Oreochromis niloticus: one gene and its partners. The protein of the gene in region 1 interacts with the protein of each later gene in a pairwise test. Links are inferred from orthologs where the notes say so. Each region holds a gene or a part of one and is shown in the gene's direction. Other genes may lie near its edges. The genes, in order: reep6, ptpn9a, spg21 and ndrg4.

Region 1 (7,570 bases):
GCAACCTGCATTCATAGACATGATGCATTCGTGCATCATGTCTATTTTGCAGGAATGTTACACATAGCTTCACACAATATATAGTATGTATGTGATTAAAAAATCAGGACATTACATGTAGCCTTTATATCCAGCTTGTCAATTAATTATCAGTTTGTCACTGGACAGTCCTTACCTTTAAATATAACCCCTCTTCGTCCTCTCCTGTCCTGTTTCTCCTACATCTTTCTCCATCTCTGACTCAAGTTATCTCTCATTCTTTTCTCTCCCTGGGAAATACAGCAGCTGGACCTTTAGTTAGCAAACACACTCCATGACAAACTGCACAAGAACAGTTTGTGTGTTTGCTGATGATTGTTGAGCAATTACAGAAACGCTGCACTTGAAAATACCTGCTACTTAACATGTTATTCCCTGTATGCTCGCTCCTCTTCTGTACAACTTAGGGATATCTGCACCAAGAACACCACTGGATTGTTCTGGTCCACTTAGCTCTATAAACAATGCCTCTTTCATTTCTTTGTACGTGATACAACCTGGTGATGGATACACCAATAGTACTGTCTTTTATGTGCTACTGGTCCCAACTGGGCTACTTGGCTCAAATCAGTCTGATGTTTGAAGACACAGACTAATGTCTTAAACCCAAAGTAACAAACCCATTTTGAAAATTTAAGCAGTAAAAAATACAGATTTGTGTAAAAATGTAGAGAGTCAAAGTAAAAAGTTGTCATAAAAAAACAATACTCAAGTAAAGTACAGATACTTAAAAATTAGTTACTCTACTTAATCTTGAAATATTTGTACTTCTGTTTCCTCTGCTGCTCCTGCAACCCAGACTCGGACATATGAAGCCAGACTATGTACGCTGTATACTTATATATGTTGTGGAAAGAAATATTAAACTGAACTTATTTTAGTGCTGTAGCTGACTCCGTCAGAAAATCTGCTGGCATAATAGTCAGTGATGATTTTGACCATGATCAAAGTCAAATGGAGTCACTGGAATTTTGAGCTTTTGTAATAAAAACAAATACAATAACAATAATAATAATTCCATACATTATGATCTCCCTGGTCCATGGTTATAAGACACTACAACACAAACTTATTCCCCATGAGAAAGTTTAAGTGTGCATTCTGAGTCAGGAGAGAAACAAACTGAGCAGCTTCATGTTGTTCTTCTTCATGTCTGAGGACTCACCTTCGAGACTCTCCTGAGCATCTGAAGACAGAGTGCCTGACTGGAGCTGATCATGGAGGAACTGGATGATGGAGAAAGCGAGGCGTTTGTTGTCTGTCATGGTGGCAGAGGTGCTGCGTCTCTGTCTTCACTGAGGGAGAGACACCCTGCAACTAAAACCTTATTTCCAATAAGAACCGGAACCCTGTAAATGTACATAATGCATGCAATGAAATCCAAATCACTTAAATGCCGCTTAAGTATTATATGAAAATAGTGCAGTGCATTTGTTCATTAAAAGAATATGTGCCAACTTTGAATTTGATGTGAGCAACATATTTCAGTAAAGTCTGAATTCGTACTACATAACCTCTTGTTTTAACGACACTAGGAGGAGATCAGAGGGTAAACACGGCATATCAGTAATGTATTCTGAGCCTAAAGCCAGAGTTTTCAACCTTACAAGTGTGGCTAACTTTAGTTCACTATAGGAATTTATGTTAAACACCTTACGCGGTACTGACCAAACCAGAAATGTTGCCGAGGCCGTGCATTTACACTATGAAAAACAGTCTGTTTTCAAAACTGTGCTGCCTGCAGGCCTAAGGGTCACAGGAAAAGTTTTTGTTTCAGCCTTTTCCCCTCATGAAATTTCTGCTAGCTCTCTAACTCTTTCTGTCTCACAAACTGCAGACCCCATCTTTAATTCTGAAATACTCAGCATCAGTAATGCCCTTTTTACACCTCATTATGTCAGTAATTAACCTCATCAGCTCTCAGATGTGTCTGATTTTTTTTTAATCACATCACTCTATATGTAGACATGCAGCATGTATTTATATGCATGCATGCATACATTTTGTTATATTTATTACTTTCCTTGGTATCAACCAGGATTGAGTACCAACTTTGATGTTTTTTGAACATACCTGCTTATTTTGAATTTGATCTCTGCAGCACGAAGGAATGCCTTTATTGTCATTGCACAAACTTCTTTGTTTCAGCCTCTGCTATATTGCTGTTTGGGGGGGGGGTGTAAAGTTTTGTGTGGTTATTCTGTCAGATGATGCTATTAATAATGCATTAACAACTAGTATCAACAGTGATTAATGCTCAGAGACATGGATGTACCTTCTTTCCACCACACCATCACGACGATGTATGTTTAGCCACCCCCCCTTTGGTATTAGCATGGAGAATGTTCTAGCAACTCGAGCACTGTGTGAGCAGAGCTAACGTTAACCACCTTTGAACATAAAACCATTACACAAACAGAAGAGCAGCTGATGCGAGCTGATAAAGGAGATCTGTCTGTCGTGTTTTAAACTGCTCAAATCAGTGAAGTTTTTGAGGAGTCACCTCACACACACTGACTCAAGATCTCTGGCTAATTTCTAGCTTAGCGTGCTAGCATACCAGTTAGGACAACTAAAAAATCAGCACACATCTAGAATTTATTTGGCTCTTCAGGATATACGTTACGTTTAAAAATGGGTTTCCTGGAACTGCTTTGGCAAATCTCGCAGTCTAACGCTATTACTATAATCAGTACTGAATTAGGCGGTTATGCTGTATTGGTGAAACCCTGACAACTTAAGACTACAGCTAACTCATCGGACACGAATGTATCTCTTTGAAGTTAACAAGCAGCTGATTTATCTTCCGACTGAGCATGACTCGAAATGGAAAGAATGTGTCAACAAAAGGACGAAGCTGATGCTAAAATGCTTGTATTTAGTCAACCCGTGTTACTTTCTGTATGCAACATAGGCCGGATTTGACAGATGATTTCGACAGTTAACTATATGTCTTTAAGTTTCCCTCTATTACACTTGAGGTTCGCTCTAGATTCTAGAAGAAAGACCACGATGTACTGCAAGAGATTTGAAAGGAGCTTGGCGTGACGTGTTCGCCAAACCACAGCGGCACGATGCTAACGGGTGGCTAGGTGATCATATTCCTTTGAGTACATAGGCGCTACTTTATAAATTGACCTTCCACGCTGCCAAAGCGAGGCTGACAGTACAGCTAAGCGTTTCTCCTACCTGTCGTCTCCGAGTTTCAGATGCGAATCAGTCCTAAAAAAGAGAATTTACGTTTGCTTCGCGTCTTTGAGGAACACTCACTCAGTTCGCTCATAAGCTTGTCGCAGAATGATGTCATCATGCGAGGATGCAGTTGAGGGGTCGTAATATTTTTAGCGACCTAACTCACGGCCACTGTATTATTTATTTTTTAAAATTAATTATTTATTTTAAATTGAACATACAAAGTCTGACAGAACACACAACTGTGAAATAATAGAAAAGAAAAAAATAATAATTAAACAATAATAAAAACAATACAGTGAGGGTTTTAACACAAAACACAACTTGTAGCATGTATGTACTCTTTGTCCTGGGCCATTCTGAAGGAAGCTTAAACTTCCGTCGTTCCTGCGCATCTTTATGGACACTAAAATTTGTACCCGACAGGGGCGCCGCCAGAATTTTTTTTAAAAGAGTGGCTATATGGGGACCACTAAAAACATTGGGGTGACACACAAAAAATAGAATTTCCCCTTTTATTATGCTGTTATCAAATATAGATGACTTGACAAAAAAAAAAAAAAATCCCCCAAAAAGAGAGAAAGTGAAGAATTTTATCCAGTAGTCTCACTCATTTTTCAGGAAGTGATGCCTCCAACCGGTGAGGCATCCTTTTTCTTCATTTCATTCTTCTTTATTATTATTATTATTATTGATATAAAGCTGGCCATTTTCACATGACAGTCACTTTCAAACTTTTTTAGAACTGCATTTTTTAAAGGAATAGAAATGAAGGTACTCCAAATATGCAAGAACAAAATGACCCTCAAAGGGAGAAGAGTCCATGTTAAATCAGGTAACTATTTAATTTGTTTTTATCTTTGATATATGGAAAACTGACTTGCATAAAGGAATAATGCCACCTTTTTATCAGGAAATGTGAGTTTTCTTGAAAAACATCAGGTAAGAGTATTAAATTCCCTTCAAACCTTTGTCATGGATCATATATACAGAAAACCTATCATGTTTATTACACTTTTTATTACACTTAAATAGCTGTTGTAACCTGTGTGCTTTGGACTTTATTCTTTTTACAATAGACTTTTGTCACTCCTCTCTAAAGTATTTTAAATTGCTCTAACCTGCACAAAAGTGTTGCACAGTCATTGATAATAATTGACTGATCAGTGGCTGAGCTATAAAGCTGTGTAAAGCCTAGCTGATATATATCATGTATATAGCTTCTTCACTTTTTACTCTGTCTTTAATAAATGAAAATATTTATAAAAAGAACTTCTCAATACCTCCTTGCGTGCTCCTCCTCCTCCTCCTCATTATAGCAGATTGTGGTTGTTAGAGGATTAAACTCGGCACCGGACTCACTGCAGGCTGTTGTCCTCCGACTTCTCTGTGGTCTGAGGACCAGATTGAGGAAAATGGGCCTGCTGAATATTATCACCTCTATCAAAGACCGAGCTGAAAAGTTTCTAAATGAGAAAAATGTGGTGACAGATATTCTGGGAAAAATGGAGGAGAAAACTGGGATCAAGAAGAAGGTCATTGCTCTTGGTACGTGTGATTTAATCTTCTAGAATTATTTTTTTCCCAACTTGCCTGCTTTGTGTAGTAGCACATGGCTACTTCTGGATCATTCTGCTCTCGTTCTAGATGTAGTTGATTTGTATAAAGCTTGTTGCAGGCCAGTGGAAACCTGAAGAGGATTCAGTTAATCCTCCTGTGATCAGCTGCCGTCCACAACAGGAAGCTGGTAATGTTCAGGAGGTTTTCTGCTTCATTTATTCTGCAGTTAATCCTCTGCACTAATAAATATTTTGTCATATTGAACTCAGATAAACTGGCTCTGCGGCCCTTCGGGGTTTTAGGATCATTAAGCTCCTGGTTTTGTGGCAGTGCCTGCTTCATTGTGTCCAGTTCTTTGATAGGACATGTATCACCCTGAGCTGAAAGACTAATGTTTAGTACTTTCTCTGACTAAGCAGCGATGGGCAGAAGTCTCTTTATATCTTCTTATGTTTTAGTTCTTGGATCAACTATGTTAGCAGCTTTAAAGGACTGGTTTTACCCCAGTTTGATGCTGGTCCTACGCTCAGCTTATGTGTAACTTTTTGCCTGCCGCACAGAAGACCAGTCATAAAATGAAGTGAAACCGAGTGTCAAAAACAAAGAAGCTGTCCTATAGCCACTGTCTGAACTTCTCATGCTTTTTAAAGGTTAAGCATAATCTTTATCACATTTCTTCCTCACTGTTGTAACCCGCTATCACTTCTTTCCTGTTCTGATCCAGTTTTCAAATAGTCAGCTTTATACCTAAAAAAATGGCTTAATTGGCGATGTATACACTGTTGGTTTTGTGAAGGACACACAAGCACATCTGTGTAGGCTTCATACCAGGAATCCTTCACTCTGAATGGGTAAATATCCACAAACACTAATGTGGTTCAAAGAAACCTGCGGTAGTCCCAAAAGCTTTCTGCAGCTGTAACCTTGAATAACTCTCTGTCTCTTAAAGATAACTCTTTATTGTTATTGCACAGTCATATATGGTACAATAGTACAATGAAATTGGAAAAACTGAAACTGGGGCTAGTATCTTGTGTGGAACTAAAGCTGTATTTTTTCCACCTTTAATTAATTTCTCTGTCACATTTTGGCTAAGTTCAGACAAAAAAACCCAAAACAAACTCTGATAGGACACCAGTCATTGTTTATAATGACGCATAATTTCATAAGCATAAAGGGCAACCTTAAACAATGACAGGTGAAATAAGAGAATTATAACTGCTTAGAAACAATCAAAAGAATTATCCTACCCACACTGGCAACTCATCCAGTCCCCTTTAAATCAAAGTTTCACATGTTTGCAACAACAAATGGAGAATATTTTAAAAGAAATTCTGTTACAGCAAAATACACAAGACTTCATTTGAAATGTCACAGATTTTAAAATGTTTTCACCAATTTAAAAACAAAGCTATACAAAAAATAAAAAATAAAAAACATTTTTGGTAATCTTTTGGATATCAAGAGGGTAACAGAAGCTAAGGTTGTTAACAGGATTCTTTCTTTTGACTTTATTTTATATCTTTAGTGTCAGTTGTTTCCTAGACCATGTGGTCCCTAACATGGTCACAACACGTTAGCCATTTAGAGGGAGGCCTATTAATTATTTTTAGTCCTGTGTGGACCTAACAGAAAATGTTCTCAAGAAAGCATCACAAATGAATTCAGATCAAATATCCTTCTTGATCCCGGGACTCAATTCCTTTGGTGGAAGGTTGAAATTTTCAGCCTTGGAAGAGTTACACAGACTCTCAGGCTGCTCTTGATATTTAATTATTTGGGGTTTAAGTGCAAATAATAAACATTCACACTCCAATGAACGCATGGATTGCCCAAGGATATTTGGCATGCAGACTGGGGAAGCCATCCACCAACCTTCCAATCAGTAGCTGATCTGCTCTACCGCCTGAGCCACAGCCACCCCAACAAAGGTCTTGTTGGGTTTCTGATTTCAAGAATTTTAATTAGTTTACACCATGTTACTTCATCTTCATTTCTAAAAGGCAAATCATCCAAATTAGCTAACTGAAAATGGGGGTGAGTGTAGCTCAGGTGGTAGAGCAGGTAACTGGAAGGTGGTTCAATCCCAGTCTGCATGCCAAATATCCTTGGGCAAGATATTAACCCCATGTTGCTCTCCGATGCATGGATTGGAGTATGAATGTGTGTAAATGTCAGATAGTAAGCACTTAGAACCAGCTATGAAAAAAAGTGCTTGTGTGAATGGGTGAATGTATAAGTTGTGTAAAGCGCTTTGAGTGCGCAAATAGAGTAGAAAAGTGCTTTCGTCCATTTACCATAAAAATGGCTTTTCCATCCAGCTCTGACAAAGAAAACCTCTGTGGGTTCAGGAGTTCATTGTTCAGGTCGAAATAAAAAACGTTTCTGCCATAAAATCTTAAAGGCAAAACCTCCATACTTGATTTGTCTACGGTGAGTTCAGTAAAGGTTATTCAAACATCACAGCAGTGTGTTCAGTGTTAACAGAAAATGGGAAGAGAACCATCACTTTACTCTACTTCTGCCTTTCCTGCTGAATTCCTGAAGCTCTTGCACATTATATTGTTTTATAAATATTGTCGACATTTTTACAAGAAAGTTTTGTTGTTTTCTAAAAATAAATACAGATCAAACAGTGTATTTTGTTGGTAGTCTTAAAAAGGGCTCTCAGGTCTGTGTGAACACAGTGATCCAGTGAGCAGGGAACAGCAGTGTATTGAGAGCACGTTGATGCTGGTGCAGTGGATTTGTAGCACATTAAGCAGGACATGATGTCAGC
Region 2 (7,254 bases), on another chromosome or scaffold:
ACGCCTTGTGTAATCCAGAGCAAATTGACAAATGCAGTTCATCGAGTACAGTCGGATACTTCCTCTTTCACCTCTGTACTGAGAGACATGTCAAACAGAGCAAAGCGAGATGTGCGGTTACTGCAAGAATTCCGATATGACTCAGCAGTACTTTCCAGGAACCGAGCACCTGCCAATTCACAGATACATTTTTCATAGTGCTGTCAGTCTCCCCCCCTCCACACACACACAGACACAGATGCTCTGATCTTTACAAAAACCTTGTTACAAGACGTTTAAGGAGTGAAGCAGATTTGTGTTTCTTCTGCACATCTCTCTTTCTCTGTGCACGTCTGAGAGTAATATCAGTGAGAGCAAACTTCATCTGTGTGCCACGTTAATAAAAGAGTGTAAACTGCTGTTCAGGTCATTAAATCTCCTCAGTTCTTACGTACTGCACTAAGATCATACAGCTTCATGCAGCACTGGGTTCACAGAGTTTGGCTAAGTGTGTTTGTGTGTTTGCGAAATGCATTTAGCACCCATTTTAGACTTGATGTATAAAGCCTGAAGTGGCTCGTGTCATTAACCCGCATTATGTAAAACAACTTCAATCTTGTAGCGAACTGATTTTTTTTTTGGCAACAACTGTAGAGAACCTCACCTTCCTCTCTAGCTTTTATTGATGTGTTTATCAACTCTTGAAATCTTTATTTCTCACAGGTTTACTGCGTCCTTTTTTTTAGTTTTTTTAGTCAGATTGACACTATTAGGGGGAAGGGCTAAAGGTTTACCAATCACATTTTCCCAAAGGATGATGTCAGCTGGTTTCACAGGAAGTCTATTGTTGTCCACTCCCTTTTCCCTTTGGTTTTCAAGCAAGACTTTCTCACGCTTCAATATTTAAAGTTTGCTTATTGTGGGGGGAATAATCGTGCCTTCCAGTGTTCCTATATTTGATGGCCTACAGAAGCACGTTGACAAACACTCTGCCATCTTCCCTTCCTTCTCTATCGACCTATGTTGAGATAAGCACGGCCTCTCACTTTGTTTTGCATCATTTTACCTTTGCAGTCTCATTAAAACACCCAAAGGCGTGAAATGATGGCCTTCAATAGCTTTGTGGTATATGCAATCTCCTGGCTGCGCTCGAAATAACCTCCCTGCTGAACTATATGAGCAGCCCATAATATTCCAAGGGAGACCTGTATTGTGTCTGTGGCTCATGTTACAGTGACTTTATCGTGCTGTTGGGTATTTTCTCATTCTTATGATGTCATGCATTTCCTGTAAACTCTACTAGATTATAATGTAGCAAGAAGGAAGCAAGAGTTGAAAGTTTGACTAATTAAACTGCTATAAGTGCAACCAACTATTATGGATGGGCCTGCTCATATTATTATTTGTGTCTTCCCACTTTATGTAATGCATTAATAATGTGAATTGCTGGTTTGGGGAGTGCAGCTGTGATGTAGACTCAAAGCTGATGAAAAATGTGCACAAAGCTGCACACTATGAATGCAGATTACAGTGGCTGAAAATTACAATAACATTCTGCTTCAGATTGCATGTACCTTTAAGAAAGTTGCAATGCACAGCTTGACAAACTCAACAAACACCATGACACTGCAGTTAGTCCTACCTATGGTGCTTACTGGCTAATGGTGATTCTGGTGTTGCTCATTGGATTAATTGTGTTTTTAACCGAGAAAAGGCTGTTTGAGGTCGCAGTGCCAGCTCAATGGCAGAAAGAATAAAAGGAATGTTAACCCTTCATTAATAGGATTTAAAGTTCTTGAATCAGGAATACAGCTTGGAGTCCAACAAACAAACTAGCTGCAGCACTGTGCAAAAGTCTTGAGCCACCCCTTAATTCTTTATATTTTGCAAGAAAAATGGGAAATAGGTGGAGCAGTTTATGGAATTATGTGCAAACATGCATGGAATATGAGGAATTTATAAGGTATATAAAGTAAGTACAATTCTAACAAGCTTAATGAGGGTCAATATTTGGTATGGCCACCTTTATCCTCAACACAGCTTAAACTCTCTGAGGCAGCTTTCTTGTCATTTCTTTAAGTATCTTCAGGAATAGTTCTCCAGGCTCCTTGAAGGACATTCAAAGCTCTTCTTTGGATATTGGCTGTCTGTTGTTCTGCTTTCTGTTAAGATGATCACACACTGCTTCAATAATGTTGTGGTCGAGGCTCTGGGTAGGCCAATCCATGGCTGATGGCGTTCCATTCTTTGTTTTTTAATATCCAGATATGTTTTTATAGTGTGTTTGGGATCGTTTCCATGTTGAAAAATGAAGCTGATGCCAATCATATGGTTTCCAGATGGTAGTGCAATCTGACAGTACTATTCTGAGTTTATAATTCCATCAATTTTGACAAGATGTCCAACACCACTGGCTAAAATGCAGCCCCAAACTAAGACAGCCCCTCCACCGTGTTTCACAAATGTCTATAGAAAGTCACTGTTGTACCTCTACATGACCTGTTCTGTGCTTATTGATGACCATTTTTACCAAAATTTTCAAATCTGGAATCATCTCTTCATAAGACATGTTGCCACTGATTTTCAGTATTTACCTCAGAGTTTTCTTCACATTTTCTCTCCTTAAGAATGGCTTCTTGGCAGCCACCGCTCCACTGAGACCATTTCTGACAAGGTTTCGATGAACAGTGGATGGATCAACTACAGAGCCAAATGCATCTTTCAGATCCTGTCTCAGGTCTTTGCTGCTGTGGATAGGTTTTTTTGTTTGTTTGGGGTTTTGTTTAGTTTTTTTGGGGGGGGGGTGAACTATTTCTTCTTATGTCCTCTGTTTGTCCAATTTTCTTAGTATTTTTTTAGGAGACACTGCACACCGTGCAATGATATGCCAAGTATTTGGCTTTTGGGAATAACTTTATTTATGCAGAAAATCATTTTAATGCCTGTCAAAATGTGTTATCGTTGGCATTTTTCATAGATTTGACTAAGGAAATGTAAACAACTGGTATGGTTTTGCAACAGGGTGCTCGTAAAAAAGTGGCTTGAGAAAGAAATTAAAATTGGTTCTTTGCTAAGTTGTCTGTTACATGTATAAACAGCATGACTGGACTGAAAATGAATGAGAAACCAGCCAATGTCCAAAGAAAAACTTGGCAGTCTGGATAACTATTGCTCAATACTACTTAAAAAAAACAACAACAACAACAACAAAAAGAAAATGTGCACCCTTGCATGAGCAGTGAGCAGTGCCTCTAGACTGTACGCTAAAATATGCTAAGCTAACACTTTAATTGCACTAGCCCTTACATAAAATAGCCATCAGTTTTAGTTAACTCCTCACACTCAACAAGGTGTGTTACTAAGATTCTATTTTTAGTTAACATATTTAAAAATAGTCCAACATCCTCACCTGAAAATATAACTAGCATGCAAAGATATATTTTCAGTCAGCTAGTGCCTAGCTGCTAGAGTTTACACCTTTTGCTTCTTTGCTTACATTACCTTAGAAATATTAGAAAGTAAGTAAATACAGGGCCAGACTCGCTGATACCAAAACCGATACAGACACATTTAACCTATAAAGGCAGCTTATTTACGGGTTGTGATTACTTTCCACGATATTTAGTTAATACAACAAAACACACATTCAAGCTGTTCGTGTATGTTCATAACTGTGACAGAGACAGGTCTCTAATGCACTTTGGGTCAACTTATGTGGTTTAAATGTACCATAGTGCATGTTTGAGGTTTATTTTTTTCCATTTCCAAAAGAATAATTTACCAGTGGGCTGCATACCGAACTTAGAGGATAGAAAAAGTAACGCCAGCATTGCTATTGATACTATAAATATTCGGATTCATCCGCTCAACTCTAGAAAACATTAAATGTTCATTCAAACTTGTTAGAATTAGTAGTAGTATTATAAAAATAGAAAGTTCCAGTTGCTTTAGGATAAATGCTGAAAAACTATAGATTTCACTTGAAATATAGCCTCCCTAGTCAAAACTACTCACTTAATTAGCTAAATTGAGATTAACTGAGGTCAAATTTTGTACTTACAGGAAACATAATATAATAATACATATCACTGAACGCACTCTTCACGTGTTCTTTTTCAAATAAAGCATCCATTTAGGTTTAACCATGTTAAGAGTGGCGTTTTTCCCTTGTTAGTTTTCTATTTTTATGAATGAAGGCGGAGGTCAGTGTGCTTTCGTCATGTTCTCGACTTATCCACCAGGGGGGGGCGCAGCGATACGCAGAGAGAAAAGCCTGCGGTCTCTCGCGGTGCTCAGGGTCGTGCGCGTGTCACCGTCTCACAGCATAAAGGCGAGGTTCACAGCCCCAAAACTTGCGATACATGGCATGGAGGAGGCAGCGGGCAGCCGCAGTCCGACGTATGCTAAGTTAGGTGGAGGAGCTGCACAACACGGTCTGAACCCGAGCTGAATGAAGCGAGTCCTCGTCTAAGCTGTTCCGAGCGCCGTGCTTTTTTTCCTCCTTCCCTTTTCCATTTCCAATTTCCTTCTCGGTGAAATCTGACACATCAGCGGCTCGCTCGAGTTTGTAGACTGGTAGATTTATGCTAATTGGCCCGCGTGCTTCGCGATCGCAGGCGGTATCAGGAGCGAACACACTCGGCTAAAAACTGTGGCGTTTTTAGATGCCTTCAAGTTTGTGAGCGAGAGGGACAACCCCTCTCCTCCACCTCCTCCTCCAAACCCCGTTTTTTTCACACGAGGGACAGACACACCGACATCACCGCCATCCTCTGCTGTATGAAACGGAGCAGTGTCGGGAAGGAAACAAAAAAAAAGAAGTGGTCAAAGATTTGACGGGAATCATGGCAGCTACTTTATCAGCGGAGGAAGAGCAGGTAGGCCCCGAGAGTCCGTGTCTTTTCCACTTCTTCGTTTCTGGGTTATGTTGGCTAAAAATAAATAAATAAAAATCTTTCAGTCTCGAGACTCTACCTGGAGGCTTTTTTTTTTTTTTTGCCCTGTGTACTGAGAGTGCGCAAATGGTGGCTGTGCTCCGAAACGGTCCTGAATGCAGAGCGGAAATATTGTATCGATTTCTGGCGCATTACTGCTCTCGTTGCATCACTGTCAGCGGCTGAGCTGATGGGCTGCAGCACAGGCCGAGCTTGTCTTTATCGCCCCCCCAGAAAATGGAAGGGAAGGGGGGGCATGTTTGTTTCGTGTGTCGTAGTTAAACACGGTGATATTGACGGGAAACTGCTTGGCCGCGAGAGTCGGAAACGCTGGCCGGTCTTTGACAAAATGTACACAGTAGAAACTTGGCTCAGCGTAAAGAGTCCTGCATGCTCATGCCGTGCCATCCGAGCACATTTTAACGCACATATCGCCGCACTTTCTAAGTTAAGGATGGAGGAAGTGCGTTTCTCTCAAATATTTGAGTACTTTGTTGTTTGCTTTAAGTAAAAATAGGCGTGCAAACTCTGTCTCCACACTCTTAAACACCAGCTTTAAGTCATCATATCGTTTTCGATATTATTGGCCTGTTTTTCTACTTCGAGGCTTGGAAGTATTGAGAAGTGAGAGAATTCTGAGAAAACTATTCCAAGAACAGGAATTGGCCTATTGGCTCATTCTAGGCGTCAAGAACTCGGAGCCCGAAGAACGGAGCGTTTATTCTAGGAATGATGAGACTCTTGATTATTGGAGCAGAAGGATTTGCTTGATAAATCCCTTAGATGATGGACAAATAAGCAGCCAGCCTTTGTTTTTGTTTGTTTATTGAGGTAATATCTGAACAGGTCCTCAAGTGTGAAGATTTACTTGTTTGCTCTTTTTTGACTTGTGATTTTTGAGTTGAATATTCCTGCGATTTCAAGTATTTAATCATATGAGGATGGAAATCCTTTACAGACCTAGCTATAAAACAAAGTGTAGTAGTAGAATTATGCATGGATGGTAGAGGTGGGCAGATCGAAATATCGATGCCGATGCTGGTATCGGTATCTTACATAGGCGAGTTCAGACCCTTTTTAGGGGTGCTCAGGCATCCCTAAAGAAAACTGCCCAGTGTTGTTGGTGCCATGATGATTCAGTCTCTCACAGAGGCGTTGCTGCTTCAGCAGTGTGGTTTGTCATTAATACTCTAGATAAGACTTGACTAAGAATATGCAGAGGTAATTTCATGACACAAATCAGTGATGCAGATTGAAAAACTAAATGGTGTCAAAAACTTTAGCTAATGTAGCCTAAATCACCAGAGATTATTCACTAATTTTAGCTTTTCGAGCCACTAGTCTGCTGGCAGCTAGTGATATACCAGCAAAAGAGCTGATGTACTTTATTTGTGCACTTTTTAGTTTGTTAAAGATTTCTATTCCGGTTCTGCGCTTCATTGTTTGTCTACAGTACAGCTCCAGATCCAGGTGAGAGCAAGTCGAAAGGAAGTTTACGTCCAGTAGCAGCCTGTAGTTAGTCTGAATATTGTTATAAATGAGGATCAGTTTATGCCTTTTATTGGTTTGTAAGTTCTGCTTCACTGTTATAATTTAACTTTTGGGTAACAGCACAAAGTTGAAGAGAACAGAAGCGAGCACAATGAAGACAGAGAGGAAAACAAACGGGCAAGAGTGGACTTGTAGTCAAGGTCAACAAAATTATAAAGGGAGTGTTGCTTCTGTTTTGCCCATATTCTTTGATAATGATTTTTTTTCTGACTCAGTGTCTAGGTGGGTTCTCTCCAGGTACTCTGGCTTCCTCCCACAGTGTAAACACATGCAGTCAGTGGGGTTATGTTAAGTGGTGATTCTAAACTGCTCATAGGTCTGTATGGTTGTCTGTCTTTTAGTCATGTGACAGTCTGGCAACTCGTCCAGGGTGTAGCCCACCATTCGCCCTATGGCAGCTGGGATAGACTCCAGCCTCCCCACAACCCTAATAAGTATAAGTGAAAGAGAATGGATGGATGGATAATTTTACATGCATTTAATGGAAGCTTTGTGTGCATACTTAAAAATGTCAGTAGACGCTCTAAAGAACATATTTATTGATATGTATAGCAGCATTTGACAGGATTCATTTAGCTCTAAACATGGCTTGAACAGGATCAGAAGTGGGGTTTTCCCAGTTTTATTTATACAGCACGAAATCACAGCAGTCACCTCAGGGTGCTTTATATTGTAAGGTAGACCTTACAACAGTCATGACTCCCTATGAGCAAGCACTTTGGTGACAGTGGGAAGGAAGAAAGCTCCAGCAGAACCAGGCTCAGAGAAGGGAGGCTATCTGCAGCGACCG
Region 3 (7,425 bases), on another chromosome or scaffold:
TGACGAGAGAAGAAACGGCTTCATTTTCGGAGTTTGAAAACTGAGAGGAGGACAGATTTCCACCCCTCAAACAAACGTAATTCATTGCTCAACGGTAAGATAACTGTAAAAACTGCTTCCACTGTGAGTGTCAGCAGTGTCTGAAGATATATTGGCACAAGCCTCATGTCCTAACTTTGCTTTGTTTAAGAGATATGGCGATTTGAAAATGCCTCCCGTTACAGAATTTCAGCTCTGAATTTCAAAACCTCCCCATAGACTTTGAATGGGGAGTATTGAAACCTTGTGTCACTTCGAGGCAAATTGTGAAAAAACGGTAAATCTCACAATAAAGATAGTGACATTGTCTGAAAGTCAGCAAAAATACCTACGTTTTGATGTATAATTTGCGGGGGTTGAATGAAAATTGAGTGAGCAGCAAGAAGTTGTTCGGACATGAAGAGAAGTTTCAGAAAGGACCAGTGCTCACTGTGAGTTAATTGCATAGCAACCATAACAACGCATGTATTTTCTGAAAAATCACAAAGCTGCAACTGAAAACTTAAAGAGGCATTAAATTAAAACGGTAGAAGATCTGAAAAAGCTGAATCAGACAGGAATAGCCCAATAATTTGAGAACATTTTAAAGTTTGAATGGAGTTTCTAGGTGAAAGTATGAGGAAGTAGTTAAGTTTCAAAAACAAGCAAGTTTTAGCAGAGTTGTGGAAGTTTTCCATTCATTTCAATGGGACAAATTAAAGGAAAAAAGTGTAATATTTTAAAAAGTATAATAGTAATAAACACCAAAAGATATAGCTGGAATTAGCAGAAATAGCAGAACAGTTTAGAGTTTGAACGGAGAAAATCGGCTGAAAACTGAGGGAGTAGTTAAGTGCCGAAAAACGCGCAGCAACTTGAAAAAGAATAAAGTTTAAAGAGAAACAGGAACTCAATAGTGTGGATGCCTTTGAGGGCATCCACACAATAAAGAGAAACAGGAACTCAATAGTGTGGAAGCCCTTTGAGGGCATCCACACAATAAATCCGACGAATAGTAATAAGTGTGCCTCTTGGCATAGGCATACTTAATAAATCCGACGAATAGTAATAAGTGTGCCTCTTGGCATAGGCACACTTAAATATACCCATCTAGAGATTAAATGCATAAGTACATGGAGGCAGGACCTCACAGCAGAAGCGTACTGCATAATGTGCATTATTATATGTATGTTATATGTAACGTGGTATATCATAACTGCTTTAAGTCATACAGAATAGATAGCAGAGCCTTAAGCACGATGATTTCTGCTAAATGGGTCAAACTGGGCAGAAATGATACTAACACATAACATCCTTATAAAATATGGATACTCATTTTCAGGTGCATACTGGTGCTGATACTTACATACTTTAAGTTTCTGAATATAAAAACTTTTTACTGCCTGTCATAGTTTTTAACTTGAAAGCCCTGAGTACTTTCTCCCACACTGAAAACGCTTGAATGATAAAATTATTTTAGATATCACCTAATAAGACTGATTCAGGACAGATAATTAGTTATTTTAAACCTTTCAGTCCTTCACACAAAGGGAACAATCTGTCTATTCTCTCCATCTCTCAGCTGGTGCTGGCTCTTCCTCACACACTGCTGAGTTTGTCCTGGTGGATCATCAGGGGTGCAAAGCCTCACAGATGATTTGCAGCAATGGGTTCCTCAGTCCTGACTCTGGACACTTGCAGGTTTCAGATATGTAAATCAAATGTGTGATAAGCTGCAGGATTCAAACACACTTTTATTTAACAATCAGAGAGAAAGAAAAAAAGAGAGAAGGTGAAAGTGCAGGACAGACAGAAAAGTGACAGGCTCAGGTGGTATACAGTACTACAAAACAGCACAAGAGAAGGAGTATTTTCTCTTTGTGTTATTAGGAGTACTAAATAAGATGAGATGAGTTCCCAGTTGTGGCCACATGTTTGACTCCTATGAAGAAAGCACCTTTCTTTTCGCCTAACGAGCGAACTGTCAGCTCATTAAGACAAATGCTAAAGTCTGTTTGGCTCGACACCACCAAACAGAGGCCGGAAAATAATCAAACTTACATTAAGAGTGCAATAAATCCTGCTTGTGCCGTGATATTCAGGGCTGAAAACCAGGCCTGTCTATATGTCAGCTTGTTCTGTGTAATACGGTTTAGCCTGACTTTAAATATCCATAAAATCTTCACAATCTCTGCAAGATTAAAGTCAACTTTTGAAAGGCTTTAAAATCAAGTAGAACCTAAACCGCGTTAAGTAGGCTACTAACATCACTAATGTCAGATAACTTTGCCGACACGTGGCCAATAGTAATGTTTTAATGTTCTTCTTAAAACATTTGTTTTGCCGCATAAATAAGTGACATAAAACTGAGTACTTACTATTAAAAGCTTACTCTTCTGCCGTGCTATGAATCCTGGGATAGCGTGGACAACGAAGGATACACCCGACCCATCTTCAAATCCGGGGAAAAGGAGGACACATTTGTTTTTGTTGGTTTTTTTGTAATGCATTTATTGAAAAACAAAAACATGGCACAGTACAGTATACTGTATCATTCATAATCAACGTCACAAACAGACAAGTGCAGATGAAATAAAGGAGCACAAAAAAGGGCAAACAGTAAAAATAAGTAAATTGCCAAACAAAATTAGATGAAATGTGCAAAGGGTTAACATTTAGTTTTTCGATATTCTTCATTTGCTCCATTTCTGGAGCAGCATTTATGTCACCTCGCTGTGACATAATCAGCTTTCAAATCGGTCTTCTCCGAAAGATTTCGCCCCTGAATTGGGAGACTACACTACACTTCACATTTGAAAAACATCGTCATAGATTCACTCTTGCTGTTTTGCTTCCACCGCAATAATATCACACTTCCTGCACAGCTCTCTCTCTCTCTCTCTCTCCCTCATTGTGCTCCAAGAACAGTTTACCATCAAAAATCTGTTTTCTGCATTATTTGTTTGCTTATTGGTCTACTGTGGTCTAAGGCGGTTACCTGCTATAAAAAAGCCAGGCCAAGAAAATCTCCTTCATGTTTTTCTGTGTTTTATCCTCATCACAGCAGATGCCTTTGACACAAAGGCATCTACTGTGATGAAGTCTGACAAGTGTCACCTTTGTTTTTATACATAGATATAAGAAATGATCTGAATTATATTAATATTTCTGACTGTCTGAGTCAACATGGAATCGAATCAGGGATTGAATCACATCAGGACCATGTCGTTCGGATTCGAATCAGTTATAGAAATTGAAATTGATAGCCAGCCCTAGTTACGAGTGTTTGTGTGTGTGCGCATCTGCAGAGGTCATCCTCATCACAGCCTGTTTTCACTCATGCAGCCAGGAAAAAGGTGCAGGAGCACACTTTGCCAAAGCACAACAACAGAAAAGGGCTCAAACAAGCTGTTTTATTTCCACTATTATTTTAATGTTTTCCCTTCTATTCATTCAGCACCAATTAGCTAGATTCTTAATCTAGGAGCTAGATCAAGAGCTAGGAAGTTTAATCTTTTGTTATTGTTATAGTGGTGGTTTGCACTGCACGTGTTTATGTGATGGTCTCACACAGAAAAAAATCCCTGCTCTAATACGTGTAATATACTAAAGCTGATCTTTTTGTATCTGCTCATTTTCGTCATCATTCTCCACATGTCTGACTAACATGCTCACAGCAGTGTTGTCTTCTTCTACTTTTCTGAATTTCTCTAGTATTTGTATGTCTCGTGCTCTTTTAATTCTTTCCTACGGTTAGTATCCCCTTGTGGTTCCCTCTTTTACTCAGTCGTCCATATAATTACGGTTTTGATTTTGATTGAACTTCCATCTTGGAGTTTTCAGTCTCCCATTCCTGATCTAGTTATCTTTATTCCAGTCTTAATTAGCTATGAACCAGCAGAGATCTCTGCATACTGCAGAGTTTAAATTTCCAATACAGGTTTAATCCAAAGTAAAGGAAAAGTTAAACAGATATGGGGTTAGGCCGTTGAATATTGAAAGGACCTATTGTGCATTGCCTTATTTCATGTTGAGGGGTTGGGGCGCTCATATCAAACATGGGAATAATCCGTCAGCATAAGTAATGCCTGTGACTCAAAAGCATGAGACTGCTTTGAACACTCACTTCCTTCTTTCTGCTCCTCTCAGGCGTCTTTTGTTTGTAATCAAGTCAGCTTAAAGGAGTAATGGGAAGCTAATGACTTGTTTTTGACAGAAGTTAAACTGGAAGAACCAAGATTTTATTGAACAGTGAATGATTTAATTTCAGTGCAGCCGATAATACAAACCTGGAGCAGTTACACCATATTTGCTTTTATTAGATAAATTAGATTATTAGCTTAAACGGAAACAGCAGGGGGCGCTGCGCTGGAAGCTTTCGATCCATTCTTCATTAAACCAATAGACGAAGAAGAAGCGGTGCGGGGGTGAACGCGGCAGCCAGGATCTTTTAAGGAAGTGTGTGAAAGCGGAGTCACATGAGCAGGCGCCCGCCCAGGAGACGGTACCCCGACATGGACCTGGAGTCTCGGATACGGTGACTGACATCCACGGGTAGCACGGGAACAGCAGCGTCACGGCGTCTCGGGCCGCGGTGAACATCTGTGGTAAGTCGTCTAGTCGGTGGTCTCGTGCAGTTAGCCGCGGAGCTAACAGCGGGTAGCCGCGGCGGGCGGTGTTTGCTCCCCGAACCTCCCCCGGCCGAAGCACGCCGCCATCCTGTGACTGCTACTTTGTGTGTCCACAGATGGACGAGATTAAAGTGTCTCCGGACTACAACTGGTTCAGAAGCACGGTGCCACTGAAAAGAGTGAGTACACAGAGCTGCTCGGCCCACTGCGTCATTAAGGAAGTACACACTTGTTATGTCCTCTCTGTGCCTGCGAGGAAAACCAAACTCGCATGCAGTTAGAAGCCACGTTACTGTTTAGTACAGGTGCATGGCGGAGACTGGCTGGAACCGAAACTATGATCTGAGCTCACCGGGGCCTTCTGCTCCACTGAACCACAAAAATGAAAAAACAAAAGCAATTTTTATTTAACTTTCGTGCTGGATTGAGCAGCATGAAAACAAAAATGTCAGTAGGCAGTCTAATCTGAGTTTGCACATGTAGTTCGACTAATTAGAAAATGATTGTTAAATAATTTTTTTTGGAAACACACTTTGCGAGCATACCCTGGAGGAGTCGGGGAAAGTTTAAAGTACAGGAAGTGGCATTAGAAATAAACTTTGAGGTTTTTTAACGTCTGTCCTAAATTACAGATCCTGATTTTGATGTAAGACAGTTTAGACTTTTTTCTTTAATAGTTTTTGAAATGCTCATGTTCAAATCTGGCCTCAGACTTTAAAGTGTGGAAAAGTGGGTGGATAGGCCTTTAAAAGTAAATGTATGTGGAAAAGTATGTGATATATGAAGGTATAATTTCAGAGTCATCATCATCCATGTCCGAGTTTTCAGAGATGACTGAGCAGGAAACTCTCTAAAAACATTGTTTGAAGTGGAATGACTGAAAGGAGAGTTGTTTATGTTGTTATACGCGTGTTTCTGACATGGCAGTGTATTTCATTTTGAAATGTCACAGTGATTGTGACAGAGCAGTGTACATGAATACATGGAGGGTTACACGTGAACGTACAAGCATTCTTGTGGTCAGATCACCAGACGTGTGACCTTTGGCACTGAGCATGACAACATCTCATATGATCCACAGGATCAGTTTTTGGTGCAGCTGCATTTGAGTTGCACCACAAACTAGTTTTACTACATTAGTACTTTAGTACTACATTAGTATGTACCACGTTTCCCCCCCCTCCATGTGTTAGAGCTGCTCTTCATCACTACATCTTCTCTTTAGTTCCAATGACACTCCTCCAGGGAGAGTCATAGCAGCTTAGTGCTGCTCACACTAACACACTGCTGTTGCTGGTGCTGTCTGAACATGGGCTCACTCTGTCGCTGTGCCAGGAAATAGTTAGGTTCCAAGTGGTTAGTCTGTGAGCTACTGAATGCCTGGCTGTCCTCAGGTCTGGTGTGCATGAGGCTTTCTGCCACTGCAAACTTCCTGCGTTGTTGTCATGTGAGCACTGAAGCCTTCTGTCCTTAACACATGTTGGTCAGTCAGCCATCTGTCACATGGTCACATTTATACTGATGTTGTGTGCAGTAATCACAGGGCCGCTGTTTTCAGGATCACGTGTTCGGACAGCTAAACTAGGGCGGCGTGGACGATAAAAAATCTTTTGTTTCCAAGCTTCATTTAATCTACAGCTGTGCAGTGCCCATATTTGTGCAGTAGAGAACACGTGTGAGAATAAAGTGTTCAATTTCAATTCAATTCAGTTTTATTTATACAGCGCCAAATCACAACAACAGTCGCCTCAAGGCGCTTTATATTGTAAAGTAGACTGTACAATAATACATACAGAGAACATCCTAACAATCATATGACCCCCCCCCATATGCAAGCACGGTGGTGACAGTGGGAAGGAAAAACTCCCTCTTAGCAGGAAGAAACCTCGGGTAGAACCGGGGGGGGGGGTGGCCATCTGCTGCATGTAGTTGGGGTGAGAAAAGAAAGACAGGATAAAAGATATTAGATAAAGATTTAGCTACTAGCCAAATCCAGTGGAGTGGTTTGGTTTAAACTAGAATAAAACCAACAATGGTCTTAAAAAATTATATATTTTAAAATAAAATAATTAAACATACTAACCAAAAATGGGTTTTAATCTAGTTTAAACCAAAGCACTCCACTGGATTTAGCTACACTTTGGACAGTGTTTCCGGAATGCAGTAGCTAGCGAGCTGATTGGAGACAAAAACAGCCATTTAGGATTTTTGCATCAGTTTTTTTTGTTTTGTTTTGTGTTTTTTTTTTTTTTTTTTTTTGTTTTTTTGGCACATTTATAACGGTGAACAGAAAAACTTGAGCGTGCAGGGAGCACAGATGTTGAGAGTGGGAGTGACATACACTGGGAGCAGGTCTGCAGATACCTGTCAGCACACAGAGAAGAGATCTGAGGAAGAGCAAATGCCAACAACTGAGCGAGAGGGGTTGTTATTATATGTGTGTGTACATGGATAATAGCAAACACTGAAATACATTTCTTGCAAGCAGCAATGAATTTTCTTCACTCAAAATAATTTTCTCCTCAAAATGCAACATTTGTATTTGCAAAAATTATGTACGCGCACTCAGAATAGAGGCACAAAAATAACGCCATATACTGATGCATCCATCAGTGTGAATGCTGGATAGAAAGCACATGCATAGAAAAATGCTTGGGTAGAGTAGAAGCAGTCTGTTTACAGTTTACCGCAGCATGGTTATATATGTAACATGAGCCAGGCCTGCAGCACTTTTACCACTCATCATTCTGTATTTAGTGAACACTGTAATCAAACT
Region 4 (7,790 bases), on another chromosome or scaffold:
CGCCATTCTCCATTACATCACTGACTAAAATGTTTCTTTGTTCTTCAGCAGTAAGTAACACTGCAAATACACTTATTTGTCAGCTGCTGATAAGCTATGGTTTCTATAATAAACAATTTCTTAATGTGAATACTTCAAGTGCTGCACTGAAAATAGCACTGTTCTCGTCTCAGACCTGGTGACTGGGGGAAAAAAGGACAGTTACTGGTTAATAAGCCTACGTTAGTGTATTTATACACCACAAGTGACAACCTCCAAAGCTGAAAGATGAAACCAGAGCGGAAATCCTCAAAAACTTGTGAACCACAATGAAATCATGTTCACAGCTGGTACAAAACTGGCCTATATGAAGAGTTTCTCCCTTAATAACAACTTTATGCTGGGTGATTTTTTTTAGTGGTTTACTCAAAAACAATGATGTCATGTGAACTGGGTACGGGGTACACCTGTCGTCTATAACCCAAAGTGTTTTCACTGTACAGCTGGTGCCAGAAAAACAACCAAAGAAATTATAATTACTAAAGACTTGTGTTAATAAAGGAACAAAGTTTGTGCTTAAAGTACATTTAAAACTTAAAGTCATCTGATGATAATCGTGATTACTGCCACAGAGTCTAATGTCTAAACACATTTGCAGAAACATCAACTATCTAATAACAAAATATGTCCCACTACCCAGAATCAAAGCGATCTGTAATACAGTCTAAAGTCAGATAAAGTGATCACATAACAAACTGTTCTGCATTTTGTTATTACTGTGAACTCTGTATGAGAGGGCAGACCGAATATTAATACAGTAATTACTCCCATTTACAAAACCTTCTTTATACTGTCCTGCCAAATAGATATTTTTTGAAAAACAGGCCTGAGTTGCCCACCAGCACTCCACACCCTCACCCTCACCCCCCTCCTCGCTCCCTCCTCCTCCTCAAATATGACTCATCTGTGTGAAATCTTAATTCGTCCTCAGGTGGCACTAAAACGAATGAAGGTAACTTGGTGGGGGTAATTTGTTGAAGTGTATTGTTGATGAATTGTGCAATGTATCAAATACTGCAGAAAGGCTGTATTTACCTTACAACTTTGCTCAATAATAACCACTTATATGATGCTGAATTGTTCCATCTCTTGTGGCATCTCTGATTTGTGATTCTGGGCTATTAAAATAAAACTGAGCTGACTTTTGTGGCAAATAAAATCATTGCAATTAAAACGCCTCAGCTTATTAGTGGCATTGCTGTAAATGCTCTCTACTGCAACAAAACAGAAAAGTGGCTTCTATCTGAGGTCTGAAAGAAAGGAGAATCTCATCACAAGCATGATATGGATGCCAAATCTGCTAAATGCTCTAAATTTGCATGTGATGACGTAAATTGGACTCACATATGTTTTTAAAAGCTCTATCTGTATCACATTTAGTGCTTTATAGAATGACACAGCATAGCTTTACATAATGACGGTCTGAGTCATGCATCCCTTTAAACTGAATACATTAAATTTAGATTGGATTCAGAGGGATTCTTAAATGCTGCTCAATCAAGATGAGTTACATAGCAGAGAGTGCGTTGGCGAGCTCGCCATCGGTTTGGACCTGCTGTGTAACAGGTCAGCTCAGGGTTTGCTACATAGGTTATACTGTCTGTGATACTAAGAAGATTCTCATCCTGCCCTGACAGATCAGATGATCCTCATCCTTTAGTTGCTTCCTATTTTATTTTCTAACCAGTTATTTACAATCCAACAATGACGACCACAGTCCTACAGCCTAGCAACAGCAAACATTTGATGAAAGCGCTCTGACAGCGAGGTTTTGGGAGCTGCCTGTAGACACAGATGCTTGTGATTAGATCATAAATGTCAATTGTTTCAACTAAAATGTGATATGTATTTTCTGTTGTTATCTAATATTTTCTATTGAGAATGATATCATGTTAAACAGCCACACGGTTTTGGTAGCAAGTAATAATATATGTGTACATGGAGTATGATTACAGGCAGTGTTTAATGTTAAGTTTTTGGTACTGTCATTATGTGTCTCATTATGTCTTTCAACAAACTGATGCATTCTCATAAATACTAAAAATTAACAAATATAATAAATGCATAATTGTATTAATTAAAAACTACACAGGATAAGGCTGGTTTGTTGAATACAGTGGTCGAATACAGTCTTATGCATGTGGCCAGACACCGGCCACAAACGCAGAACACTGAAGCCGGAGGAGAAGAGAACTCGTAGGCATGTTCGTGCCGTGGAGGCATATTTTATTTCGTCTCTGCACCTTCAGATTCAAGTTATGCAGGACCATACCCATATTTTATCATCTGACATAAAACGTCAGCAAAAAGGTGAAAACGCGAGGAAAGAGACGCCGACACCAGCACCTGAATACCTGAATACCACGTGATCCTCTTCCTCCCACCTCATCTTCTGAACTGAAGTCAGGGCTTTATCACAAACATTATTTATTAATTATTCCTGATACTGTCACAATTACTTATTGTCAGCAAATTAGACATACAACCGTCCCGACTTCGAACAGCTGCACGAGGTAAATGTGATGTATTTGATCTCTCTTGACCAAAACATGTTTGTCCTACAGCGGCCACCGTAGCTACGATTATGTGCTTGAATGTGGAGGTAAGATAACAGGATTCACTTGACTGCGATCTGTAATGCACTGACATCTAGCGGTGAGATTTTACGCACTGTAACTTTAACAGATTACTACTGATAAACTATGTGTTACATTACAGCTTCACCTTATGAGAAGAGTAACTTACTCTACCTTTAAGTGAAATGATTTAGTCATATCAAGTTGATATTTGCAGCCTTTCCTTTATCACGTAAACAGCAGCAGGGATGTTAATTCTCCCACAGAGGGACAGCTTCTGCCAAACTAAAAGTTTAGCCATTGCTGGAATGCTGGCATCATTCTCCTCCTTAGTTTGCTTCAAGTGTTGTGGGTGCTGTGATCCTCGTGCAGGTGCTTCTTCATAATCTCATTAGGGCTCTTAATGCACACGACAGACGTACGAGCACTGTGCCTTAAATCTACTTTCTTGCTAATGGCCAACAGATGGTGTCTGGGTGTAAAGGGAAATTCCTCGTTGGCTCTTACCTGCTCCGTGACCCTGCGTTTGCCATCTTATTGAATGAAACGTACTTTAGATTTAGCCTATTACGGTCGGGTACCTCAGGCTACGCTTGGATTCCAAAACACAGAGATGACAATGCCAAAAACATGGAACCAAAAGGAACAGCAAATGGTTTCTAAAAGTAAAGAAACAGAAAAAATGAAGCTGGAAACTAATGCTTAATGTTACTAGTTTTAACAAAAAGTAATTAGAGAGCTATGATGAGTTTCTTTTCAATGCCTCATCACTCACACTGGTGTTTGCTTCATCTGTGATTGTCTCTAATGGTTAGGCACATCAATTTCTGGTAACATCACAAATGTGAGTCGTGATTCAGATGTCAGGAAACAGGTCGGAGCTACCCAAATCTTCGAATGTTTAAACAATATCAGGCTCTGTTTATTCTTGGGCCGGCAGCGATGTAAGGTGCCCAAAAAAGGGGATTATGTGACCGTCCCATATGCTCTCCAATCCTGTAAACAACACACTCCCAACACACTCCCAACTCTGGAACACGGGGTTAGAGATGGAAGGTGGACAAGTTTAAATTGCAGGCCTAAACACAATCTTTTCTTATAAACAAGCCTTACTGTATTCATAGCAAAGCTGAAGTCAGTACTCTACCAGAGACACATGGATGATGCAGCTATCAGTGCCCCTATCACTTCATGCCCCAGTTGCCCAAACATGGTAAGCTCCTTTGACGCTTGCTTTACCCAGACAAAATAGCTCTTCTGTTTGCCTGTGGGCTGTTGGGTTGAGTGTGTGTGCGTTTGTGTGTGTCTGTGGGCGTGAAGACGTCTGAGAGCCGTGTCAGAATTGGACATTCAGAAAAGGATATGTTCTTCCAGATTTGGATGAATGTATTTTTGTTGCCTGGTTTCAAAATCCCGAGTAAATTCAAAGCTTGCGAGCTCTGGGCTGCAGAACGGCACCGGTGCAGAGCCTGGCTGGTTTTATAGGTACAATTTACACATGTGTCACATGTAGGCAAAGAAAAACTAAACAATGACACATTTACAGACTCTTAGTAGTTCTCTCGAGAACCACTAATCGAAAAAACACGAGTAAATTAAATCATTTATCACAGAACATTAAAGGCAGGAAACAGATCGTGTTGAGTAAAGATATGTACGGCTTTATCTTTATGAGGCTTAGATTTACAATCAGAATAATGTTTGGCACTTATTTAAACTTAATGTCAATGAATGTCATTCAAACACGCTTGTGTGTTGTTATATGCCCCTCCCCCTGCACACAGACACAGTAGCGCAGGCACTGTAGTCATCCATATGACCTCTGACTCTGCAGTGCACCTACTCATGTGTCCTGCAACACACCTGGAGAGTCTGAAGCAGATCAGATGACTGGTTGTTGAAACTGGTGAGGAAAAAGAGAGATTTCTGGATTTTTCGTATGACGAACAAGACGGACGTTCCCACGCCTTCCTTTTAACCAGACTCACTTTGTTATATTTTTACCAGCGTCTTTCTCATCCTTCACTTCTCTCCTCGCTTCTCGGTGCTGTGATTGTCAGCGTGCTGCATCATTGGTGAAGCCACGTGCTCTGTGTTTATCATCAGGAGGGGGAGGGAGATAGAGGGAGGGAGGGTGAGAGAGCTCTTTCTCTCTCATTTCTAGTGCGACCACAGGAAGACACACACACACACACATTCACGCACAAACACTCTGAGACGTACACTCAGCCAGTCTGTAGCAGCCTGAGGGACGGACACAGAAAACACGGCGACACCAGACTTTGCGGCCACAGAAGCTCTGAACAACACTACAGGTACCGTAAAGCTTTGTCTGCCTGGATTGTAATATTTATTCAACAGTTTCTACCCGAGTGGCAAACAGTCATTTGCAGGTGAACTCTTTGAGAAGCTTCGTGTTTTGACTCTACCCTCAGATTTGAGCTCGGATGCAGTGAGGCTGCTTTGTGTTTGAGGACTAGAGGAGGAGGATGTTAAAATGAGGACGGGAATTTTGGCACGGTGTATGTGAATGCTGCTGCTGAAGCTTTGTGCTTTATACTTTTTCTCTCTCTCTCTCACACACACACATACACACCCCTGTTGCCAGCCTCTGCATTGGCGAGAACAGGATGTCAAGAGGTTGAATTTATTGACCCCACAGGAACCAAAGTGCGACATTTAGAAAACCAGACAGGATTATTATTATGTATTAAACCCAAAGCCTTTGCATTTATATTGTATTTTCCTGTGTTGGGAAGTGGGATTATAAAGTTGTAGTTTAAAAAAAAAGTCTTGATGCTTTTAATGATCATCTGATTCTGATGTGTCTGACTTTGGCAATGGCAGGGGAGGGAGCGATGCGTGCTAAAGAAAACAATGCTGGATTTGAAGGAGACTGAGTCAGCTGGATGATGAATCGACAGTAGGTGGAAGTCATAAAAGTTGATTGAATCTGGTGCAGGCTTGTGTTAGTGGTGCCCTGAAAGTGCCTGCATTTGGCTCAGTGGTCTTGGCAGGACCTGACAGATTAGAATCATAAGGCATCGGGGCATCGTGGTCAAAATAAAGAGGCTGGGTGATCGCATTTAAAAACTAAAGAACCATATAAGACAACATTAACGTATATGCAGATTTGATCAGGACAGTGAGGTTTGTTGCGTCACACCAGCAGTAGAATGAACAGATGAACAGATTAAAGTGCATTTTTCATATCCTTAAAAAAGCAACAGTGTTGATGTCCCATTTTTATTTGGACCTCTTACATAATTTCTCTGTAGGATCAGCAACTGCTCTCCACTTATCATTTTCTTGCAATGCATCTTTTGCTATGTTCAGATTTCAAGCTACTATGAAACTTATTGACTCGTATTTTTCCTGCTGTTTCTTGAGAACATGAAACAGCCGCTGAAGCCGAGCTGGTCTCCCCTTCGGGAGCGGGTCTGTTTCTCAGCTCGCAGTTTATAAATAGATTTACAAAGAGCAATACGCTCCTGCTCTTGTTCATCACGAGCTACACAGCAATGCTAGCTCACACCAGTTAGTCCATATTTGGCCAGAGGGGTTTTTTGGGGATATAGATTAATTACATTATTCCAGAATTTTCTACAAGTATGAACAACATGAGTTAAAATCTTGCTGAATTTCCAATGGAAGAGATGCAGTTTTGGGTTTTTCTTTTAAATCATGTCACCTACTGCTACTATACCCCGATTAACAGCTCATAATTTTTCGTAATTTTACTGCTCCCTACATCCAACTCACTGTGTATTGCACTACAACTCAAAGTAAAAAGGTTACTATCCCTATAAGCACAATAAGGGTTACTATGTGTCCAAAATGGCAATAAGATACGAGCGATCCTGCTTCCATGTTTCACCTGCTGGTTCTAGCCACAGGTTCCAGCTCTTTACATCTTGTTGACTTCACGAAAATCAAAGGTATTGGGGAAATTTCACAGCCAGATGAAAAATTTAAGACAACCTCTCAGATAAACAAAGCATATGAAGTAGTAGGAAAGTCCCAGTACCAAGCCGTAAGTCAGAGGAGCTTTAAAAGCTAGCAAGAAGCCACTGCTTAGGAAGCTATCTGCATATATCTGCATCTGCATATCAAACATACAATTGCACATGCATAAGGCGCAGATATAATTCATTAAGGACTTAACACTGACCAGACCATCCAGGGTTAGACTTAGTGTTGTTGATGTTGTTATTTAATTACATGCTAAATGGAAAAATGCTTTATAAACTAGAAGATGATAGATTTTAAAGTCACATAACAAATGGACATTGCAGTCACATGAATCTTTTAACCTTTTCTATTTGTTCACCTTGAACTGAAGATCAAGGTAGGAGGTGAAGTTTTCTAACAATCTTATGAAGACCCTAAATAGGAAAAGATCTCACGTAGAATTTTCAAATTTATGTCAAACGTGCGTCTACTGGGAGGCTGAGGGATAGCACTGGTGATATTTTTGCTATTGTCAGCATAAACTTCAAGGGGTTTCACACCTTAAAGACCTTTTAGCCACAAGTTGATCTTCATAAAGCACCGACTAGTTCAAATCACAATACTTTGGTCACAAGTAAATTGCTTGAAACAAAGCAAAGAGAAAAGTTTGACTTTTGGATGGGGATTACTTTATTACTTTGAATTAATAGATAACAGATAGAGTGCTGAAGTCAGAGGCTACATGTTGTGAGATTTGACAGTGTGGTTACGTGGTGATCTCTTCTCTAAAATACAAGACAAACGCATGAAATCACATACTGCTGAAATTATGCTTCTAGAACGTTTAACTACTTAGTAAGGAAGGCTAAATGGCTAATTCCCCAATTTTAACCTCTGAGCAGAACTTAAACTGACTGTGAGGTGCGTAGCAGTCACATCAGCTCTCAATATACCACTCGACTACACACTTTTATTCTGTTAAGACATTTCCTTAGACAAAACAGTAAGATTAACCTAAATTTCAGATGGGGGTAACAAAACTGTCCCTTAGAAGAGATGTCGGGTATGTGAGGCTTTCATTGCTCGCTTTCTGGTTCCTTCTGTTTGGAAACAACTCTTCTTGCTCTTTGGGTTCTTTGCACCGCTCCACAGGCCACCGCTCCCCCCATCTCCCTCCCCCCAGTGGCATTTTCAATAGCTAGACAATGAGACTGGCACTGAGAG

Evidence for each region.
Region 2: the proteins of reep6 (region 1) and ptpn9a interact in binary tests that used the Homo sapiens proteins (3 or more experiments, as listed by UniProt). The two-hybrid records come from large-scale screens. The link is inferred for Oreochromis niloticus from reciprocal best matches to the Homo sapiens genes REEP6 and PTPN9.
Region 3: the proteins of reep6 (region 1) and spg21 interact in binary tests that used the Homo sapiens proteins (3 or more experiments, as listed by UniProt). The two-hybrid records come from large-scale screens. The link is inferred for Oreochromis niloticus from reciprocal best matches to the Homo sapiens genes REEP6 and SPG21.
Region 4: the proteins of reep6 (region 1) and ndrg4 interact in binary tests that used the Homo sapiens proteins (3 or more experiments, as listed by UniProt). The two-hybrid records come from large-scale screens. The link is inferred for Oreochromis niloticus from reciprocal best matches to the Homo sapiens genes REEP6 and NDRG4.

The regions. Positions count from the first base shown.
Region 1 is NC_031980.2:37,191,650-37,199,219, forward strand, and holds the start of reep6 (receptor expression-enhancing protein 6), read left to right. Parts: upstream 1-4,552; 5' UTR 4,553-4,646; coding exon 4,647-4,779; intron 4,780-7,324; exon of another isoform or gene 7,325-7,570. UniProt on the Homo sapiens protein: Required for correct function and survival of retinal photoreceptors. Required for retinal development.
Region 2 is NC_031972.2:44,378,076-44,385,329, reverse strand, and holds the start of ptpn9a (tyrosine-protein phosphatase non-receptor type 9), read left to right. Parts: upstream 1-4,234; 5' UTR 4,235-4,823; coding exon 4,824-4,856; intron 4,857-7,254. UniProt on the Homo sapiens protein: Protein-tyrosine phosphatase that could participate in the transfer of hydrophobic ligands or in functions of the Golgi apparatus.
Region 3 is NC_031965.2:4,634,446-4,641,870, reverse strand, and holds the start of spg21 (maspardin), read left to right. Parts: upstream 1-4,423; 5' UTR 4,424-4,625; intron 4,626-4,765; coding exon 4,766-4,828; intron 4,829-7,425. UniProt on the Homo sapiens protein: May play a role as a negative regulatory factor in CD4-dependent T-cell activation.
Region 4 is NC_031972.2:4,221,883-4,229,672, forward strand, and holds the start of ndrg4 (protein NDRG4), read left to right. Parts: upstream 1-4,775; 5' UTR 4,776-4,930; intron 4,931-7,790. UniProt on the Homo sapiens protein: Contributes to the maintenance of intracerebral BDNF levels within the normal range, which is necessary for the preservation of spatial learning and the resistance to neuronal cell death caused by ischemic stress.